2 linked regions of the Callithrix jacchus genome follow. The main gene of each other region encodes a partner of the protein of the gene in region 2 in a complex. Links are inferred from orthologs where the notes say so. Each region holds a gene or a part of one and is shown on either strand. Other genes may lie near its edges.

Region 1 (3,500 bases), on a different chromosome or scaffold from region 2:
CTTTCAAAACATGCATCAGCGAGACCGTCGGTGATTTCCCACTGTTTTTGGGCCAGCAGCCTTATCACTGTCACGGGCAAGGAGGCCCTGCAGTCTGCCCTGCCTCTCCCTAGCCTCGTCTTGAAGCCTTCTCGTTGCTCCTTGTACTCCAGCCTCCTAGCCTCCAGTGTGTCAGCAGAGTCTCAGTGCGTGCAGTTTCCTCTTTGTGAGAGTCTCTCCCTCCCGTCTTCGTCTCATTACCTTCTACTCATCCTTTCTAAATCAGCTGGAGTGTTATTTCCTCGTGAATGACTTCCCTGGCCTCCCGGTCTAAGAGGTGCTCTATTTATTTATTTTGACATGGAGTCTCACTCTGTCGCCCAGGCTGCAGTGCAGTGGTACGATCTCGGCTCACTGCAACCCCATCTCCCAGGTTCAGCGATTCTCCTGCCTCAGCCTCCTGTGTAGCTGGGCCTACAGGTGTGTGCCACTATGCCCAGCTAATTTTTGTATTTTTAGTAGAGATGGGGGGTTCACCATGTTGGTCAGGCTGGTCTTGAACTCCTGACCTCAAGTGATCCGCGTGTCTTGGCCTCCCAAAGTGCTGGGATTACAGGTGTGCGCCACTGCGCCTGGCCGAGGGTTCTCTATTGACTGTTCCTACAGACCCGTGCTCCTTCCCTTCACTGTGCTTACATGGATTTACAAGCACACTGTCTTCCTGTTGCTGTGTCTTGATTAATGCATGTCTCCCTTATCAGAGTGTCAACTGTACAGGTTCAAGATGAATGATAAAGAGAAATCTTAATAAAATATATTTGTTGGATGGATAAATGGCTATTTACTTATTGAATGTTTAGATAGAGGAAGAAGAACCCACTGGATACATTCGATTTGAAAAATTTCTTCCGGTGATGACAGAAATACTACTAGAAAGAAGGTAAGTAAGTAAATGCAATTGTTAAGGCAACGCAACGATCAGAATTCATTCAGGACGCTTGGCTCTTTCCCTTCGTATGTTATGTTCAACCAGCGTCTCCTAAGGTGGCCTCCTTCTAACCTTTCTAGATACTTCTGAACTGCCAGTTGGTACATGCTTAGAAATATCAAACACATTCGTGTTAACCTTAGCAAAGCATAATTGGGGGCAAATAAGCTACAAAGATCATAAGTCAACATTCTTATCTTCTGTTTTGAATTATCAATGATAAAAAAGAATCCTAATATTTCTAGCACAAATATAGCATTAGCTTGCCAGAGTTGGTTCATCATGGAAGTCTTGTGCCCACCGAAATTGATTTCTGAAAAGCTAATAGATAACCGCAAACATGTCAGTGATTTTGCACTAAATACTTCCTGTGGGGCTGAGGTGTTCTCCACTTTCACATCCAGAAATCCAACAAGATTTCAGCGAGGCAAGCATTACCATCCCAGTATGTTAGCAGCTTTTACTTCTTCATTTTTATTTTTTGGGCTGGAGTGCCATGGCGCCATCTCAGCTCACTGCAACCTCTGCCTCCCAGGTTCAAGCCATTCTCCCGCCTCAGCTTCCCGAGTAGCTGGGATTCCAGGTGCCCACCACCATGCCCAGATAATCTTTGTATTTTTAGTAGGGACAGGGTTTCACTGTGTTGGCTAGGCTGGTCTTGAACTGCTGAGCTCAGGTGATCCACCTGCCTCAGCCTCCCAGAGTGCTGGGATTACAGGCGTGAGCCACCACGCCCGGCCCTGGTTTGTTTTATGTGGTCATTTATTCATTCCAGTGGTCCCCAACTACCAGGCCATGGACTGGTACTAGTCCCTGGCCTGTTGGGACCCCTGGGCTGCACTGGAGGAGGTGACCAGCAAGAGAGTGAGTGCTGCCACCTGTCAGAGCAGCGCTGGTGCCAGAGTCTCATCGGAGCACAAACCCCATTGTGAACTGCGCGTGGGAGGGATCTAGGTTGTGCTCCTTATGAGCATCTAATGCCTGATGATCTGGGGTGGAACTGTTTCATCCCCAAACCATCCCCCCAACCCCGGTCTGTGGAAAAATTTCCTTCCATGAAACCAGTCGCCACTGCCAGAAAGGTTGGAGACTGCTGCTTTATTACGCAGAGACGATGGTGAATACTATGGCACTGACTCAACCTATTGCATAATTATAGATACAGACCCATTCCAGAAGATGTCCTTCTTCGAGCCTTTGAGGTATGTACACTCCAGCTTATATACATATACATGTATATAAATACAGACATTTATATACACACGTGTATGCTCATTTATGTGAAAAATTCATCATGTAGAACTTACCAAATGAAAAAATAGAATATCTATCTTTTCTTTTCCCCTAGGTTTTAGATACAGCTAACCGTGGATTTCTTACTAAGGACGAATTGATCAAGTACATGACTGAAGAAGGTAAGCGTGATTTAGTGCTTGCAACAGTGACCTACGTGAGGAATTCATGATTTGTCAGCAGTCATGTAAAGTTATGGGGAGACGTTAGAATCAGTCATTCTGGTGGAAAGTTATTTACTGTTCCTACTGTTTTGGTTTGGGGATGGTTTCTGTTCTGTGGGGGTTAAGAAGAGTAGGATAAGGGGAGCTGTGTTGTTGTCTTAGAGGATTTTGTAAAGTATAGTGATTACTTCTGTAATTGCAGTCATTCTGAATGGAATTTTCAGAATAAAAGATATGCCATCTGGAAAACATGAACTATCAATCACTGTAAATGAAGGCCTCTTCCCAGATTGAAGATCTGAATAGGAGTCTCTACAAATTTCTTTCTTTTTTGTTTTTTTTGAGACAGAGTCTTGCTCTGTCACCCAGGCTGGAGTGCAGTCTCAGCTCACTGCAACCTCTGCTTCCTGGGTTCAAGTGATTCTCCTCCCTCAGCCTCTCAAGTAGCTGGGATTACAGGCGTGGGCCACCATGCCCAGCTAATTTTTGTATTTTTAGTAGAGATGGCCGGGCTGGTCTCAAACTCCTGACCTGAGGTGATCCACCCATCTTGGCCTCCCACAGTGCTGAAGGAATTTAAAAATTCCTTTTTAAAAAGCTTTTCTGTTGGTGAAGTTATAGATAATATAGCCTAAATTTAATATGAGGTCATTTTTAACACTAAACATTTCCTCTTTTAATGTTAATGGAACCATATATATATGCTTTGAACATGGCCCTTCATACATATGCATATACACACATAATACCTGCACACTTACATATGCCAACATATTTCCTTGGGAATTCCCTCTGCTAGGCTGATGTGTACATTTGTTTTCCCTGAAGGTCGTCTCCTGAAACCATCCTCATACTGGTGACCTTGCCTTCTCCTGTACAGAGCTAGAGCTCTCTGGTTCACAGATTGAGTTCTGAATGACTCAGAGTTGCTAATCACTTGAGACAGAATCAAAAGTGCAAGTAATCTGGAGCAGGGAAAGCTAAGACTGCATCTACGTGCACAACTGGCTTGACCATTCCAGCGTGATCCATTAGGGGGAATACAGGGAGTGGGAGTAAGAATGACACCGCCATCA
Region 2 (3,255 bases):
CAGCTACCTGGGCCAAGGGCAAAGGCAAACACTCGGCCAAAAATGTAGACAATGCCAAGTGCCTCCCAAAGTGTTGGGATTACAGGTGTGAACCACTGTGCCCGGCGGAAGTCAGATTTCCAAGTATGAAGAAAAAACAGGCCAAGTCAGATTCCTTTCATTTTTACTCCTTGAGAACTGCACTGGAGTTCATGGCTTAAGCTCCAGGTCCTGCACGACGGGAGAGCATGGCTATAGTGACTACATGCCTTGCCACTTCCATGTGCTGCACAGAGACCGTTTTTCACACAGAAGGTACTTTACTAACAATCCTTCACGTGGACAGAACGCAGCTTGTCAGGCGCTCTGTGAGTGAGTACAACTTACATTGTACTCACCCCCTTTCCTCTTCCAGATCCAGGCCTGGTGGCGAGGCACTATGATACGGAAGGAAATTGGTGGTTTCAGGATGCCTAAAGACAAAGTTGACAGCAAGGATTCAAAAGGAAAAGGCAAAGGCAAGGGGAGGAAGAGAGGCAAGAAGTGACCACGTTGTCTTCTGTCTTTTCCTCTGGTCTCTGGAGGTGGGAAGGGCGTGGAGAGAGTAAGAAGCACCTTGTACCATCACAGGTGACTCATCTACAGGTTGTTTCCCAGGCGAAGCCTGCTGATTTCACTCTCTGATTTAGGATTGTACCATTGACTTAGGGCTTTCTCATACCTTGCTGTAAAGAAGTTTCTGGTAGTCCTGTGAAGATTCATTCTTCTTGCTCTTTCACAGCAGAACCAAGCAGTTCATTGTCTTAGTAACAGCAATGCATTAAAACTTCAGTAATTCCTGTAATGTCTGATTCCGCTTTTACCCAACTGTCTGTAGTGAAAAAACTCTGATGAGCAAAAGCATTCAGTAGGAATTAGAAGATGATGTTTATTAGCTGTCCCGCATAACACAGACACAGCGAAGTTTTAGTAAATGTTGGTTCCTGCCTGCCTTTGACATTTATCTTCACGTTGTTTTTATTGGGGTGAAAACGGCATGGAATACATATCCAATTATAAGCTGCTTCCACAACTTTTCTGGGAAATAGGTAGGGATACAAATTATAAATACAAGCTAGAAATAGGATGTTAGGATATAAAACTTTACAAACTGTAAAGATGAGGACATAGGTTCTCTGGAAGGGTAGTCTGGAGATATTTGTGACAAGTGAAACACTCAGGCCAATACCTGCTTTGCTTACTCAACAATTCCCACTTGATGGAGTGTTAAGATGAAAATAGACAAGGCGTGTAAAAATATCTAACCTGTGCCTGGCACATAGGAGAGCTGACTGTCATTCTCCCTTTTCCTCTAGAAAAAAAAATGAGCCCACCAGGTCATTCTTGCCTTGATTAGTCAAAACAGAATATCTTGGGATGCTAAGGTTTCCCTATAGCATTCCTAGAGAAAAGCTGCCCTAATGTGTCACATACATTTCATGAATTAAGCTTCTATCTCACTCACTCCAAATAAAGCAGTCTTTTTTTTTTTTTTGAGATGGAGTTTCACTCGTTGCCCAGGCTAGAGTGCAAAGGCACAATGTCAGCTCACTGCAACCTCTGCCTCCCAGATTCAAGTGACTCTCCTGCCTCAGCCTCCCGAGTATCTGGGATTACAGGCATGTGCCACCACGCACAGCTAGTTTTGTATTTTTAGTAGTAGAGACGGGGTTTCTCCTTATTGGTCAGGCTGGTCTGGAACTCCCGACCTCGGGTGATCCACCCGCCTCGGCCTCCCAAAGTGCTGCGATTATAGGCATGAGCTACCGCGCCCGGCCTAAAGCACCACCTTGATATCTGTACTTCATTAAGAAAATCAATTTTAACTCAAAAGACTATCCTGAAGCCCCTGTTTCTACTGACATTCCTTCTGGAAATACACGCCCTTTCCTTGATTCACCTCTGCCAAGGGAACCATATTTCAGGTATGAACATTCTCCAATCAGCTGTTATTACACTCCACTGAAGTGTTGGCTTTTATTTTAATATCAACATATAAAGTGGCATACAGGCAATTTAAAATAACACATGATATTGACATATTTATACTTAGAACTTATGCAATATATTTACAGACATACAAATACAGGACAATGTTTTTGTTACAAAACCTTTCACTAATTACATGTTTACAACATTTTCAGAAATAAAATGAAACTTGCTGTAAACCATCTCACTGCACTGTGTATATAGAAATGCTTCTAAATATCTATGTTTTCCTTCATTTCTATAACCATTTAAGCGCGTAGTTTCTACAAATTCATCAAACTCATCAGCAGAGTCACACATCATTAGTCACTGCCGAGCTGTAGAAAGAAATATCGCAAACTCCTCGATTAGCTGTATTTTAAATAGCTCTTAAGGAAGGTAGTCTACTACTAAGACCTTCCTGCTCTGTGTTCTAGAGGAATACAAAGGCCCTCTTCCCATGGTTGTTTCCAGACCTGGCCATTACAAGAGAACAATGGAGTGTAAAACATAGACTGTGAGTCTGAAATCCTGGAAACTGCTGACAGAAAACCTGTCAGTGGCAAGGACTCTGCTGGGTGGACTCTCAGCCTGTTGACACTGTCAGTGCTGGGAAGGTCACTGCTTCAGGTCAGCGGAACTGTGACAAGGTCATCTTCATCTTATGCTGGAGTCAAGCAAAGCTAAAGGTTAAACTGAATTGTGCTTTCCAATTTTTTTTTTAAAAGGTACATACAAAATACTGAATACAAAAATTATCCCAACAAAAGCATCGTGATTTGTTTTTGCGTCTTGATACAAAAGAAATTCATACCTCTGCAGAGGGTTTGAAAGAAAAAAGAGAACATCAATGTATTTGATATTTTTCCTTCAATTACCAGCCAAAACTGCAGTTTTTCCTAACAATTCGAATACAAATCTGATTTACTTTGATAAAAATACATTAAGAATGTTTCATAATATGTGCAAAATTTGAAGTAAGTTGAAATTTCCATTTACTCCTAAGGGAAAATAAGTTGCAAATGTTGCAAGTACTGTATTATATAATGTCTTCTAGAATTATTCCTTGCATAATATGGTGTGTTTTTTTTTTTTTTTTTTTTTTTTAAGATGCAGTCTTGCTCTGTTGCCCAGGCTGGAGTGCAGTGGCATGATCTCAGCTCACTGCAACTTTCGCCTCCCAAGTTGAGGTGATTCTCGTGCCTCAGTTGCCCGAGTAGTTAGGATTACAGGTGCCTGCTACCATGCCCAGCTAATTTTTTAATTTTT

Evidence for each region. Proteins that work in one complex are often made in the same cells at the same time.
Region 1: DRC9 (region 2) and DRC8 share a complex: the UniProt entries of both Homo sapiens proteins name them as parts of the nexin-dynein regulatory complex. The link is inferred for Callithrix jacchus from reciprocal best matches to the Homo sapiens genes DRC9 and DRC8.

Annotation. Positions count from the first base shown.
Region 1 is NC_133520.1:41,147,455-41,150,954, reverse strand, and holds part of DRC8 (dynein regulatory complex protein 8), read left to right. Parts: exon of another isoform or gene 1-839; coding exon 840-919; exon of another isoform or gene 920-2,126; coding exon 2,127-2,169; exon of another isoform or gene 2,170-2,315; coding exon 2,316-2,382; exon of another isoform or gene 2,383-3,500. UniProt on the Homo sapiens protein: Component of the nexin-dynein regulatory complex (N-DRC), a key regulator of ciliary/flagellar motility which maintains the alignment and integrity of the distal axoneme and regulates microtubule sliding in motile axonemes.
Region 2 is NC_133518.1:81,434,553-81,437,807, reverse strand, and holds the end of DRC9 (dynein regulatory complex protein 9), read left to right. Parts: intron 1-394; coding exon 395-526; 3' UTR 527-838; coding exon of another isoform or gene 839-850; 3' UTR 851-2,755; downstream 2,756-3,255. UniProt on the Homo sapiens protein: Component of the nexin-dynein regulatory complex (N-DRC), a key regulator of ciliary/flagellar motility which maintains the alignment and integrity of the distal axoneme and regulates microtubule sliding in motile axonemes.